Lepisosteus oculatus: one gene and its partner. The protein of the gene in region 2 interacts with the protein of the main gene of each other region in a biochemical or structural test. Links are inferred from orthologs where the notes say so. Each region holds a gene or a part of one and is shown on either strand. Other genes may lie near its edges.

Region 1 (7,174 bases), on a different chromosome or scaffold from region 2:
GGGGGCATCCGGGTCCCACGATCAGCACAGGGAGTGGCGCCAGACTCAGAACTGCAAGACGAACAGATCAGGATTGAAAACACATTGACAGCACCGCCGATGCCGACAGGAACAAACGTTTCACATTTTAATAGAAAATTATTCACGCTGCAATGTCCAAAGACAAAAAACAGCTCAGAGCTTTCTGCTTCTCAGTCACATGTGCTACCAGTAAATTAATACATTTCCCTTAAGAAACTTGGATATTATCCGGACCTGCACTAGTCAGAACTTACTGCATCCTTCCTCTCGAAACTAAGAGTGCATCTACGGGGGAGGGTTTTTCCCAGGTGTGGGACGTCCTGGCCACGGTGCTCGGGGCTGCAGTCAGCACGTGCAGCAGAGCCCGAGACTCTGCAGCCCCATCCGCCCTCCTGGCCTTCCCGTCCATTCCTGTGCTTCAGTGTTTTAACGGAGTGTAGGAACGTAGCCAGGAAATGCAACACGGATGTTATTTTTCACAGCCATTCCTGCAGCTCTGCAGGCCGGTACCACTGCGCTACGTCTAACACCACTCTGTCCTGTTACAACATCTGAACAGCTGGTGCAGAGAAACCGAAGCTTTGAACTAAGCTGATGAGGCAAACTCCCCGAAAGGCACGTACGTTCTTGAGGAACTCCTCAGCCACGATGCGGGCGCGGGCGTTGACGGACAGCTTCATCTCACTGATCTCCTTGTCGATCTCCTCCATGAAGTGGATGACGAAGTCCACCAGCTTGTGCTTGTACATCTGCTCCGTGTGGAAGTTTGTGATCAGGAAGCTGATGTCGTAGCCCTGGAGTCAGGAGAAAGAGAGCGACCGTGACAGACAGGATGAGTGTATGTACACCAGTGAACTAGACGCTGGTATAGTGAAAGAACTAGTGAAGTTTGCAGATGACCCCAAATTGGAGGATTGAGAAAATGCTTTTTTAAATTTGATTTGCTGCTTCTACGGACTTACACATGATTCAAGACTGGACAAACGCCTGCCAGATGAGATCCCGAGATTAATAAGTTATTGCCGAAGAGGCGAGATCTCGTCTTCCCGAATCCCCCTCTTACCTCCACGGGTTTCCTCCGCAGGATGAAGAAGTTCTCCGCTCTCATCATCATGAAGCGCATGAACTTGTGGCACAGGATCTTCTCAATCTCATCGGCCTGTGGGGACACATCACAGCGCCGTCAGCCCAGCCCTGTTCAACCCCAGTCCAGTCAGAGTCTCCTCCTCGGCCCTCCACCTGTCGCACTGCTAACGCCACCTGCAGCCCTTCAAGCCACTCCTCTGTCAGAGCGGTCCTGCGCTGCACCAGAGAGAGCAGTCAGGCTGCCTCTAAAATCACAGAGCAGCCTTTTTCATTCTCTCGACCAATCACAAGCCAGGTAACTAAGGCATCTACCAATCACAGAGAAGGTCATTCTGAATTCCTGACCAATCACCTGCACAATTACTTGACGGTTCCAGGAAGAGATCACTCTGCCCACTGCAAAGTAATTATATTTTTCAGGTCCCATCATCTGGACACTCTTAAACAAGTTAAGATCAGTGCTGTATATTTCCAGTATGACACTGACACAGAGAAACATGTACTCATGACTTCTGCTTTCTGCCTCATCAGTGGTGTGAATATCAGCCTCTAAAACACCCGACTAAGACCGGCTGGTTTTCCAGTCTCTCGACCTGGGACACGAGCCCCGCCCACGGCCTCAGCCAACCACAGCACGGCACACGCACGGCCACGCCCCCTCAGCGACCTGTTTGACAGCGATGCTGACGCGCACGGAGTTGATGGAGCCCTCGATCAGAACCTTCTCCTTCTCATTGCGGCTGATGATGACCGGCTGCAGCAGCAACTCCTTACTGCTCCTGGAGAGAGAGAGATGAGAGAACACGTTAGGACCCCAGGAGGACTCAGAGCAGAGCTGACCATGCGCCTGCCTGTTTGGCAGAGAGGCTGAGGGCCAATCCCAGCAGAGGAAGGGCTGAGAGAGGGAGGGGGGCAGGTCACCCCGAGAATAGGAGAGCCTCGAACCCGCGTCCGGCTCAGACTCACCGGACTTCAACCTCTGGCTTGTTGTGTCTCTCCACCACCTGGGAGGAGAAGTTCTCCAGACAGAGGGCGGCCTGCAGCGTGGCGCGCACGGCGTTCAGGTAGGGCCGCAGAGTCGCTGTCTGTGGAGGAAAAGAGCAGTTCTTTACATTATATAGCGCCTTTCTGGACCCTCCACTCAGAGCTCTTTACAGGTAAGGGGGATCCCCTCCACCCCCACCAGTGTGCAGCCCCACCTGGATGATGCACCAGTCCTCTCACACACACCAGCTCTCAGTGGGGAGGAGAGCAGAGGGATGAAGCCAGTTCAGAGATGGGGGGTTAGTAGGAGGCCATGACTGGTAAAGGCCAGGGGGGAAATTTGACCAGGACACTGGGGTGACACCCCTACTCTTTTCGAGAGACGCCCTGGGATTTTTAATGACCACAGAGAGTCAGGACCTCGGTTTTACGTCTCATCTGAAGGACAGCGCCTTTTTACAGTATAGTGTCCCCGTCACTACACTGGGGCATTAGGACCCACACAGACCGCAGGGTGAGAGCGCCCCCTACTGGCCCCACTGACACCTCTTGCAGCAGCAGCCTCAGCTCTCCCAGGAGACTCCCATCCAGGTACTGACCAGGCCCCAGTGCGACAGAGCCAGAGCGCACCGGCCGGAGAATTTCAGAGCCTCGGCCCCGCGGGTCTGGGTCTGGGTCTGGGCGGACAGAGCCCTGCGGGCCCGCATTCCTCCCGCCCCCCCCACCCTCAGCCCCGCAAGCCCGGGCGTGCGGTGGGGATCTCCATGGCAACAGTGAATTCCAGCAGCGCGAGCCTCCCGTGCCCGGACGCGCAGAGACGCCTGTGCACGAGCGAAGCGGCACGCAAACAGGGGGGTACCCGGGGTGCCGAGAGTCGGTCACTTCCAACACGTCATTTTGACAGGAAGCCGCACACACCACACGAAAATAAAACCCCTGCAACCGCCTTGAAATGACGCTTCACACGCCACTTTCTGCCCTGCACTGCCTGGTGCCATCCAGCACCTGAGCCGGCTCGGCGCCCTCCCCACCCGCCGGGGGCACCGGGCGGAGCGGCTGCAGGCTGTCGGCGGCCGGGCTCCGAAATTTGGGTGGGGATCCCAGGCACACCTACCGCGGCCGTCGGCAGCCCCAGCCAGGAGCCTCTCGCAGAGACTCCCAGGGCACCGCACCCCATCTAAGACCCCGCGCACAAACCATAGCAGCCCACTAACCTATTTACCAGTAGTTAATTGTCTTAATTATTGATGTTAATATCCAGAAACGCTACCCTGTCTTACCATTTCTGCTTCCTCTGGGGAACAAGACGGAAGTGCTCGGAGCGCGTGCGCACGGCGGCTCTTCCGCGAGCGCTGCTCGGCTGGCTGGGATGTACCATTCCCACATCTTAAGGGTGTGTGCAAGTAACTGAATAGTGCCATTTCTTTGTGCGCTACTTTTCATTTTCCACTATCTTGTACAGCCAAATACCTTTATAAAGACTAGGCGTTTGAAACAGACCATGCAAGAGGCAATCTCTCTTAGTGCTCTGATATAGCACAGCATCTTTCCGGAACGGTACGACTGGTATTACGTTCACCGTCTCTAGCTCGAGTTATTATGATTAGAAATTCAGAAACAAGAACTACTAAATCTGCTGATGTTATTTTAAATAATCTATGTTGTCTTTCTTTTCCACCTATTTCCACAAAAAATCTCTTCCTCCCACCCCCACCTTCAATTTGGTTTAGGCAGAGATTTTCTTCCATAAAAGGCAACGTGGGACTTCAGACTGGCTGGCTGAATGTGGGGGGGGAGTTTTCGACTAGCTGGAGTCTGCTGTGATCTGCAGCAAAACAAACAGAAGAAAACGAGTGCAACTTCAAATAAAATATTTTTTATTTAAATCTTTTATTTCATTTTTATCTTCAATTATCATCTCGTCGCCACATTAAACGTTGTAATTCTAAGAATAAACCCCTCTCTGGTGGTGTCGTCTTCAGGGAGAAACCATCTTGCAAGAGACAGTTTGTTCAATCAGGCTCAGGAGACGGGGTTGGCGCGGTGGTCAAGGGAGTCTAGTACATGTTTCATACGCGCAATAACTCAACCCGAAAATTCTCTAAGTTGTTGTAGACACTGTTAAACATATACTTCACGTCAGATTGGATTTCGGAAAGAAATGTTTAGTCGTGAAGGTGAACAGAGTGTGTCGCGCACCCCTCTGTAGCCCTGAATGGTAGAGTCAGCAATGGAAGCTGCGCTGCAGGACTAAAGCTGTCCGTTCTGCTTTAGCGTCTTATCAATGGTAAGTCTGCAACCAGAGAGCAAAACGCGTACGTGTAATGTTCTGGGAGGAATAAACAGAAGCTGCCTAATCTGGCATTCGCCTAGATGAACAGAGCCGCCGTGTGAAAATGCTCCTTGAGGTGGCGGAGGCTGGAGGGCGCAGTCAGCGTTGTGCGGTGTGCGCGTACGTATCAATGGACAGGGTCCCTTCGCCTGAGGATGTTGTTCTCTCTCGTTGCGTGTAAGACCTGCCACTGCACGGCACTGCGAGGGAGAGTAAGAGCCGCCCGCTGCACTTACGGCGGGGTTTGAAAGCAGTGGGGCTTCTTAAACGTTTATGAAAACAAGACCGTGCCGAGGTTACGCTCATGCACGGAGCAGTCTGGTTGCGGGGCGGGCAGATCCGTCTCTCCTACCGGAGATAAAAGCCTTTGGAAGTCAAGTTTCACGAGGCGCACGACGATTCTGGCTGCCTGACATTGCTTGTGTCTGTCTCGTTTAAACATCTGTCGTTGTAACTCGTGTTTTGTTGTCACTGTTACTGTGCTGTATTGCTGCTGGTGTCGCTCGTTGGTGACGTCATGTTTTGTGTGTAAGACGAGCTTTGTCCGGACGCTGTTGTGCCGAGCGGTTTAGACAGGCGAGGTGTGCAAGACTGGCCACCTCCGCTGTCACCTACTAGCAACAGCGCACGGGGAGGGGAGGGAATGCAAGGGAAACGCACTGATCCAGTGGTCAGTGGCATAGCTGGGGTTTGAACCAGGAACCAGGAATAAGGCCTGCGCCTGAATCCTTTGTCCCTGTTCAGGGTGGGATGTCTTTTAAAAGGCAGGTGTCTGTGTCATATGCACTTGAAATCTGACATCTCTGCCTGTCATGCTCCCGAGCTGGAGCAGCCTGTAGCACACTGGCAGCCTGATCTGTGTGCTCAGCTCTGCCCAGCCTGCAGCACACTGGCAGCCTGATCTGTGTGCTCAGCTCTGCCCAGCCTGCAGCACACTGGCAGCCTGATCTGTGTGCTCAGCTCTGCCCAGCCTGAACACACTGACAACCTGATCTGTGTGCTCAGTTCTGCCCAGCCTGAACACACTGACAACCTGATCTGTGTGCTCAGCTCTGCCCAGCCTGCAGCACACTGGCAGCCTGATCTGTGTGCTCAGCTCTGCCCAGCCTGAACACACTGACAACCTGATCTGTGTGCTCAGTTCTGCCCAGCCTGAACACACTGACAACCTGATCTGTGTGCTCAGCTCTGCCCAGCCTGCAGCACACTGACAGCCTGATCTGTGTGCTCAGCTCTGCCCAGCCTGAACACACTGACAGCCTGATCTGTGTGCTCAGCTCTGCCCAGCCTGCAGCACACTGACAGCCTGATCTGTGTGCTCAGCTCTGCCCAGCCTGAACACACTGACAACCTGATCTGTGTGCTCAGCTCTGCCCAGCCTGAACACACTGACAGCCTGATCTGTGTGCTCAGCTCTGCCCAGCCTGCAGCACACTGACAACCTGATCTGTGTGCTCAGCTCTGCCCAGCCTGAACACACTGACAGCCTGATCTGTGTGCTCAGCTCTGCCCAGCCTGCAGCACACTGACAGCCTGACCTGTGTCCACAGCTCTGCCCGGCGTGAGGATGAGTGAGCTGAAGGACTGCCCTCCGCTGCAGTACTATGACTTCAAGCCGGTGGAGCATGCCAAGGTGTGTCCGCGCTACACGGCGGTGCTGGGCCGCTCCGATGACGATGGGATCGGGATCGAGGAGCTGGACACCCTGCAGCTGGAGCTGGAGACGCTGCTGTCCTCCGCCAGCCGCAGGCTGAGGGCCCTGGAGGAGCAGAGACAGGTGAGGGGGTGCGGGGGGAGGGGACAGGTAGGGGGGTGTGGGGGGGAGGGGACAGGTGAGGGGGTGAAGGAGGGGGAGATGAGGGGTGTGGACACTAACCAGGAAAGAGAGATCACAGCATAGTTGCTTGTACACCCATCGCTCCCCAAAACTGTGCTGACTGTCGCAGACACCTGCGCGTGTGTCTGTCTGCCTCAGATCCTGACGGACTGGCAGGACAAGAAGGGGGACAAGCGCTTCTTGAAGATGGGGAAGGAGGCAGACCTGTCGGCCGCACCCCGACACTCCAAGCCCAAGAAACAGAAGCTGGAGGGAAAAGGGGGCCACGGGCCTGGACCTGGCCCGGGTCGGCCCAAATCGAAAAACCTGCAACCCAAGATCCAGGAGTACGAGTTCAGCGAGGACCCCCAGGACACCCCGCGCATCCCCAAGAACGATGCCCCCAACAGGTTCTGGGCGTCTGTGGAGCCGTACTGCGCCGACATCACCAGCGAGGAGATCAGGGTGCTGGAGGACCTGCTGAAGGCCCCCGAGGACGAGCCCGAGTACTACAAGGTACTGAGTTCTGTTTACAAACCACCACGAAGCTCCGCTGTCCTGCCCCCGATCTGTACAGCCTGTCCCTCTCTGTGTGCTGTCCTGTGCCTTTTCTGTACAGTCTGTCCCTCTCTCCCTGCTGTCCTGCAGCTGTGCTGTTCAGTCAGTCCCTCTCTACTCTACCTGCTGTCCTGTGCCTTTGCTGTACAGTCTGTCTCTCTCTCCCCGCAGTCCTGTGCTCGATCTGTACAGCCTGTCCCTCACCTGTGTCCCTCTCTGCCTGCTGTCCTGTGTCTGTGTAGGTCCCTGCTCTGGGGAAGCACTATTCCCAGCGCTGGGCCCAGGAGGACCTGCTGGAGGAGCAGCGCGACGGGGCCAGAGCCAACGACAAGAAGAAGGGCATCATGGGACCGCTGTCCGAACTGGACGCCAAGGGT
Region 2 (8,126 bases):
AGCTTCTTCCCCGAAGAGAGAAGTCCGGCCGCGAGTGATTCTGGACTCGCAGGCCGAGCTGTCCAGCCTCGACAACAGGCTCCCGATGTCGCCTTCCCCGGAGGTGCAGCACGTCGCGCAGCCTTAGTCCGGCGATTTCTACTGTCCCTTCTTCCGCTTCTTATAGGGCTTATATGCACAAATGATCACCAGAATTCAGTTATTAGAAAAGTCTAATGAAAATATCAGATAAAATAGCGGGCGACCCCGAAACACGATCCAACGAATGTCCCTCCTGACTCTGGACACGACGGTTTGACGACACGGACCGATTATGGGTCTTTGAGTGCAAAAACGACAACGATGATGACCTTTTCTTCTTGTCTTCTGTCGAGTACAAACTTCGTATTCGACAGCAGCGTTTAGATATAACGCTTTTTTTTACAAAAAAAAATCGTGAACGATCGGTTTAGAAATGATGACATCCCCGTCGCCCTGTCTACCTTCGTTAAACCACGAAAGGCGCGTCGTTCAATACGCTAGTTTGGCACAAACTGCGATGACTAACGATTTAGGGAGGAAAAATTCTTTCCTGCGTCCGGAAGAAACAAGTTTCGGAAAGGGACTAGAAACAGAAAATCTGTTTCCAAAAAAAAACTCGCTTACCAACAGCTGCTCGGCCCATAATTGTTCTTACTTGGCATTCAACCGGTTTTAAAAAGCCCTGCACTTAAATTCAAATATACATTTACTGTGCCGCGCAATTCTAAAGATTTTCGCCTTCTTAAGCACAGCAAGTACCCACAAAAACAGTCAATCTGTGGAAATGTAAAAGCAGCGCGTCCTGTATTATCCACAAAAACCTCCGTTACAATGCAATTTAACAAAGGTGCCTCCGCAAATGAGCTCAGTGTCCTATGCATTGAAACACAGCATTGCAAGCACGTTTCTGTTCGCTCTTTTGGAAATGTTACTGCACAGTTACTGTTACAACTCGCTACATGTACTGTAGGCCGGGAAAAAAAAGACAAAACCCGTAGTCGCGTATGTAGAGCGCCGGGCTGGCCGGGGGCTACAGCGGTAAAGCCCTCTGTAATGGTGATTACTACAGCCGTCCAAACGGTTTGTGCTTGAAGCACAACCATCGAGAGGGTATAGATGCAATAAGCTATTGACCAAATAAAACATGTTTAGGTGAAAACACACAGAGGAGGTGTAGCAAACGCGCACGCAAGGGTCTCCACGTTCACACGGCGAGGAAAGCCGGCAGACGCCGAGGTGGTTTAACAGAAGCCAACACGCTAGTAAGGAGCTCGTTCGGAAAGGACAACATGAGACATTGCAAGCGAAACACAAACACCGAGAAGGTCACTCAAGCAGCGCCTTAAATCACAGCACCTGCGCTCGCTCTCTCTCTCACACACAATCGGGGCCGCGCTAATTTAAACTCGTTGACGAGCCTGCCGTAATTACACGAAGCGGCCGGGATACAGATCGATCCAGACCAGTGAAATTGCACCGTAGGCGGAAGCCCACAGAACGCGAGTTGGGCTACACGTAACACGCGATCGCTCAGACACATGTCCCCCGAAGTGAAACATTGTAACCCAGGAGCAGAAATGTCCACCTACAGTGATTGGAGCCGGTCCAGTGCTGGTTTCTGATGGAGCTGCCGTAAGGGTGGTGCGATCCGGCCACGATCGTCTTTTCCTGGATTAAACATCCTCGGTTCTGGTTGTAGTAATCCACCATTAGGAACGGGTTCGGACTGGGATTTAACCCCACCACGTCCACACTCTCATACATGATGCGTGTTGGCGACTCCAAAAAAAATAAAAATAAAAAAAAACCCGATTGAAAGTAATATCCCAACAACAACAACAAAATCTTCTCTCGGTGGCAGGAGCAACAAGAACTACTCGCACAACTTCTTCTGATTAGCTGTCAAACAACATCTTAGAGGTAGTGACTGTGGGAGATCTCCCCCCCCACCCCACCCAGCCTTGCTGGGGGAAAAAAAAAAGTTTGGCTGTACTGATGATTTGATCTTTTAGAGAGAAAAAAAAACAAACAGCAAAGTTCCGTCCCAGCAAGAAGACCAATCACTGTGGTTGTGGATGAAGTAACGGGCAGTGATTTCAGTGTGGGGTCTGGGTGCAGCAGCTAACTAAGTGGGTCTCCCCGCATGGTCCGAGAACAACTTCATTTGCGGTTTTTGTGCGTGGAAGCGCTGGCTGGAGAGGCGGCGATTCGCATGCTGGCGCGTCTCCCCCTCCGTGTGCTCCCGAGCGGGCCCCGGGCTGCGCTCCCTGCTCCAGACGGGTCCCGCGGTGCCAACTTTTCTCCCGCACCCCGCCACAAAACTGTTTATTTAAAAAAAAAAACTCCACAAAACTGGAGAAGGTAGGCAAGAAGGGAGGCAAAAAAAAAAACTGAAGTTTTTTCTTTAAAAAAAAAATACCGCGACACCCACACGCCAAAAAAACAGCCCAGCTACGCCGGTACAAATCCCGCACGGAACAGGCTGGCGTCGTCAGCCGCTCTCCCCGTACAGGCGCGACATCTTCACGGGCAAGGAGGAGCGCGTCCTCACCTCCACAGCGCAAACGGACCGGACCGGACCACCCTCGTCCTCCTGCCTCGGTGGCTACAGTCTCCTCTTGCCCTGCGACGCTTGCGGTCGACACCGACTGGGGGCAGGCAGGCACGGAGGGAGGGAGGGCGATGGAGTGGAGGAGGGGGGCACTCTTTTTTCAATTTCCTTCCACCACATCGGGGGGGGGGGGAGACCCTCCCCTCCCCAAACAAAACAAAATAAAATAATTTTAAATCCAGCCGAGCGCCTCGGATGTGTCGAGGCGAGAGGCGCGGAAGCTGTGTTTCGCTGGCGTCGCAGATTTCGCGTTTTTAATCCCCCCCGTTTCGCGTGACTCGATCCGTCTCCCCCCCCCCGACTCCGTGTTTATTGCTGTCGTGCGGGGATCTCTCTCCTCTCTCACGCCAAGTCTGTTCCCAGGCAGGGTACCCGCTTGCCCTGCGCCGCAGATTGTGACGGCAGCGAGCAACTGCGACCGGACCCCACCTACCTCCTCTCTCCCTCCCTCTCTCTCCGCTCTCTCTCTCCCTCCAGAGCGCCTCCCCGACTTAACCCTTTCCGGACTCCCGCAGTCACACAGCCCCAGGACCCGGGCCAAACCGCCCGCTCTCTCGGTACAAGCCGCAAACCCAGCGGCTCGGTGGTGATGGTGGAGGGGTGTGTGTGTGTGGTTGAGGGAGGGGAAGAGGATTAACACTTGTCGGTTCGAAATCAAAATAGGGGAGGAGGAGGAGGAGGAGGAGGTGGTGGTGGTCGTCTGAAACAATTTTAAAAAGCAAACTAAAACCGCGCCGCCGCAGTTTTAGGGACATAATAAACACGCACACACACCCCTCCACCCCAACAGGAATGCCTCTCTCGTACAGCACTAAGTGACGCCTCCTCTTCCACCCACGAGCCCAGCTCCCACGCCGTGACGCGGAAGACCCCCTTTTCCCATCGTCCCCTTTTTCTCGCAGGTTTCCCGGTCTCCCCCCGGACTAATTTGCCTAATGTTATGCGGGTGAACTTTTCCTGAACCCGCGGAAGCCGGCCGCCTCACCTCCGGGTGACCCACACGCCGACTCCGGCGCGCTCCTCCGCGTTCCTGTCGCTGACGTCACTCGAGGTTCCCCCACCTGGCCGCTCGTGCGCATTGGCACGCGGAGTCCCCGAAAAGTCCCACCGACTCGCAGGTGGGAGGGAGCTGGTCTGAGAACCGCACAGCACCCAGGCCGACGTTGACCAAAACGCGCACAGTTAAATCTTTCATCTCGCATCGCGCTTCCACACAGCGGAGGCCGCGCACGATGAGCTTAAGAGCGACGGCCTTTCCCCCAGACTTTGAAAAAGTTTGCAAGTTTTCTGTATTTGCAAAACGCCACTTAAAAATAAATAAATAAATAAATAAATAAATAAATAAATAAATGGTTCAGATTGAGAGTCTTTGTTCATGACAGAAAAGAAGTCACTTGTTGAAAGCATGGTCACACACACAGCCTGGCAGATCTAATACTCAAGAATATCATTAGACTGCAATTCCGTGAGGACTAATAGGATCTAGATAGATAATGCCGCACAGTGCCGTGACAGTGAATACGACAGTCACGAGCAATGCAATGGACTTGTTTAGTGCCCTGCAAATTCAGACCAGGTCAGAACAAATGGCCTGTGTCCCTCACAGAGAGCTCTACGGATGGGGATGCACTAGTGTATTATTTATGGTACATTTTGAGGCTGTAATCAGTGTTTTTTCCCAGGGCAAAGTGGACTGATCGGACAGCAGTCGGTCAGTCAGAGGGAACGAGGCCATCTGGAGTGGAAGCAGCCATGTTCTGTGCAGAGGCCCGGGCAGCACGGGGGAAATCCCAGGAAAGCTCCCAGCGGAGCCGAGCCTCGGGCCCGGAGCCTGCCCAGCCTGCCGGGCAGTTCGGAGCTCCGACTGGAGGGCATTCCCCAGGACTCTGCAGGGGAAGGCCTGCTGGGGCCTTGGCAGCAAACTGTGACACTAATTTAACACCAGGGCTTAAACTGTTTACTTTTACTGATAAGGACAGCAGGCGGGGGGGAGGGGAGGCTGAGCTCTGTGCTCTGTGCCATTGGAGTCCATTTCAGAGGAGATTCCAGAGAAGGGACGCCAGGACCAGCGGGACCGGGCGAAGGAAGACTGCAGTGGACATGGCCAGCCCATGCAGGAACGGCTCCCTTCAGATCCCTCCGCTGCAGGGCTACGCTGACTGTGCACAAATGCGCTGGCACAGGACCCATCTGCCTTTCCTGCTTGCCAGTTAACTGCCTGATATCTGTCATTAATGCCCCGTTATGTGCATAAGGGCCTGCTGCAACAGCACCAAAAGGTCAGGAATGACAGCCTCCCCGTTTGAAGGCTGTCTGCGATTGTGAGTAACCTCTGCATGCGGTATGAACTTGGGAAATTAACTACAACATGACTAATTATTCCAGGTCTGGAGGAGAGTCAAAAGAAATGGGGGAGGCCTGCGTTTCCAGCACCAGGATGTTGTACTTGAGGACTTACGTCAGCCGCTGAAGAATGAGTCCCTGGAAGGACCCCAGGCGACACTGACATTCTGTACTGGGAGCCTGGTTTTGCTGGTACAGCCTTCAAATGCTCTGTCATTAAAAGACCTCAGCGCTGCCATATTGGTGAGCCAGTAATTACTTCGAGAGCCACATAATTGAGTGCCACAGCGAAGACACTGAAAAGGAGCTTGCCGGAGAGCCAGAGGTTAAGGGCATGTGGCCTGTGGGCCTGGCAGGAGCCAGCAGCTGCCCAGGAATGCCAGACCTGTGATGGGTGCCAGACTGCCCTCCGTGGGGTTGAGCGAAAGCAAGCCTGCCTGCGCACACACAGTGAGTGGCGGTGGGGCAGGACCCTGGGTCTTTGGGAGGTGAGCAGGAATAATGAAAAGCAGATAATGAGGGTTAGGTTCAGACCAGACTGGGGCTGGGAATTCAGGGAGGTTTATGAGAGGGCAGTGCGGAGGACATCCTGCCTGGATCTTTAGGGTGCGAAAGTATTTTTATTGCCCCCCCCTCCAATCAGAGGTGTTAGGGGGGCAATAAAGATTAGACACTGCCACCAATTTACCCCCAGCCCCCCCGCCAGTGAAGACAGCTGTGCCACAACACCCTATTGTTACAGCGATGCCACCCACTGCCGAGCTGTGAGCCTCTCCAAGATCTTCCGCATCACCTGTTTGCCAAACAGAGACTGAAAGTTTAATGGTGGCTTTCATGGCAAGGGGAGATGGGAAGGTCCTGGCGCAAGTGTCTCCAGCCAGTGTGCAGTCGGCAAGCATGCAAATTACCAAGCAACGGAGCTATCCTGCGTTACATCTTGCACGAGGTGAATCTGGAGTGGCCCCACCACCCTGTCACCTTCTCTGCACCGGCGTAATACTCCCTTCTTCCTGGCGACCTGGCCCCTGTGCGAAATGCCTGCACTCACGCCCTCCTCTGGCCTCTCAGAGCTCACTCGTTTGTTGCCTTGCAAGCTTGTCCGCCGTCATCAGTCCCAGAAGAGCTCACGTCCCGTCGGTGCCCCGCCCCCACGGGAGAGCAGCGACAACGGGGAGAGAGTCATTCCTCCCACATCAGTCAGCCATCACTCCTCAAGGGGGCGTCTGAACGGAGCCCAGGGCTGAAGCCTGGGCAGCAGTCGGGGGGAAAGGTGCGAGCAGCACGCCAGGGCAGAGGAACTCTGGGACACAGATTCCTGAGCTCTTTTTAGATCTTAATAAGCAAAACCAACATGGCTGCCATGGCTGTGGTTCTTAGAAGCCGTAGAACTTGGGGAGGTTCCTGTGCGTCACACTACACAGCGCAGCTCTCCGTATTCAGACTATCTTAGGATTGGTCTCGTCTCTGTGGCTAAGGATCTGTGCCTACAAGGTTGCCGGTTCATATCCCGCGGCCGGCAGAGGAATCCTACTCCGTTGGGCTCCTGAGCAAGGCCCTTCACCCCAGCTGCTCCAGAGGTGCTGTACAATGGCTGACCCTGCGCTCTGACCCCAAGCTTCTCCCTGTCTGTGTGTCTGTCCCCATGGAGAAAAGCTGGGGTCTGCGAAAAGATTAATTCCTAATGCAAGAAATTGTATAGGGCTAATAAAGTGATGTTGTTGTTGTTGAAGCGCTCGCACTGTGCTCCCGTGTTCAGTATAATAGTAACAATTCTATGACTGGAGCCTAGAAGCTGTGCTTTACGTGTTGAATTAGATCGCCAGCCAGACTTTCCGTTTAATTTTCTGGTTTCCTTACAGCCCGACAGCTGGTCGCCTCCGACATCCAGAGCGAGATAAGACCCCGGCGAAGCGGGCAACTGCTGAATCTTGCGCAAGATCTAATGAGATCAGTGCAGGGCTGCAGGGAACCGAACAGCAAGGGGGCAGCCAGCCAGGGAGCGGCCCTTATCCACGCTCGAGAGACTCTGCAGCAGGCAGGAGAGTAAACACCTTCAGCCGACTCTGTGCTCATTCCATCTGCGGTGAGCTGAAGCGTTCCAAGCAGTGCCGGATCTTATTCCCGTGATGCCACAGTAAAAAAATATATATATATATCTGCCTGCCCGCATTTCTGCTCAGCAGAATTCCAAGAATCCAGCTGGCACCTCCGCCTTCCTCATTCCACAGCGCCGAGCGACACAGCGCTCTTAAAGACACAGAGTGTGCTCACCCACGTCCACGGCTCTCCCCACTTCCCTTCCCAGCAGACGTGCGCCGATACCCCTGCTGCTGTCGATGCCGCGCGGCTGGATCTGTCTAGGTTGCCATCTTGGCATGCAAACGAGCTAAACCAACCAGCCAACAGCCTTTGCAAAGGCCACCCGGTACACTTGTAGGTGCACGGTAGAGGCTGCAATGGAGCTGAGGGCGTAGTGTGGCGCACAGGATCTTCCCCAGCTCACCTCTCTGTGTTCAGACTGTCTTAGGTTTGGTCTTGTGTCTGCGGCTTTTGTCATTCACCCTGCCCAAAGCGCTCGCACTGTGCTCCTGTGTTCAGTATAATAAGAAGAATAATAATTTTATTATCAGCACCGCTCTCTATCGATTCGGAATGACCCGCTCTTGGTCAATCCCTTGTAGGGGCACTGGGGAGATGAAGACAACTTGCAGGCTGCTGCAGGGATGTGCTCTGTCATGTCAGGCCGCAATGCCAAGATGCAAGAATACAGCGCTTCACTCACATAACAGTGCAGGCGCACCTGGGGATAGGCAAACAGCAGGGGTCTCTGCTGTGCACAAAGTAAAAAAAAAACCGAACCCCACAAGTCCCCAAGGTGCTTGGGCAATCGGGCTACAGCCTGGCAAATCCCAGCCAGGTCTGACTAAGCACAGAGATCGGGCCTGAACCAGCAATTCCTGTACCACTATAACACAGGTCCTTTATATTCTCAGCTTTTCCGCTGGATCTGCAGTCAGCCTACTTTAAGAGCTCAGAAAAGATAGATATTCAAAAACACACTCTCAGCTATGACCCTCCTAATGTTCCAATACTTTTAAGAAGTGTAGGTGTTAAGGGAGGGGGCAGGAAACACTGTCCTCAAATCAAAGTC

The links.
Region 1: the proteins of raraa (region 2) and tada3l form a complex in vitro, tested with the Homo sapiens proteins (2 studies listed by BioGRID). The link is inferred for Lepisosteus oculatus from reciprocal best matches to the Homo sapiens genes RARA and TADA3.

Annotation. Positions count from the first base shown.
Region 1 is NC_090699.1:66,539,488-66,546,661, reverse strand, and holds the start of tada3l (transcriptional adapter 3), read left to right. Parts: upstream 1-4,097; 5' UTR 4,098-4,378; intron 4,379-4,384; exon of another isoform or gene 4,385-4,543; intron 4,544-5,973; 5' UTR 5,974-5,990; coding exon 5,991-6,200; intron 6,201-6,398; coding exon 6,399-6,755; intron 6,756-7,039; coding exon 7,040-7,172; intron 7,173-7,174. Other genes in the region: arpc4l (actin related protein 2/3 complex, subunit 4, like), read right to left, coding at 46-51, 645-815, 1,085-1,180, 1,775-1,886, 2,074-2,192, 3,372-3,512. UniProt on the Homo sapiens protein: Functions as a component of the PCAF complex. The PCAF complex is capable of efficiently acetylating histones in a nucleosomal context. The PCAF complex could be considered as the human version of the yeast SAGA complex.
Region 2 is NC_090723.1:6,530,692-6,538,817, reverse strand, and holds the start of raraa (retinoic acid receptor alpha-A), read right to left. Parts: upstream 3,078-8,126; 5' UTR 1,786-3,077; coding exon 1,611-1,785; intron 1-1,610. UniProt on the Homo sapiens protein: Receptor for retinoic acid. Retinoic acid receptors bind as heterodimers to their target response elements in response to their ligands, all-trans or 9-cis retinoic acid, and regulate gene expression in various biological processes.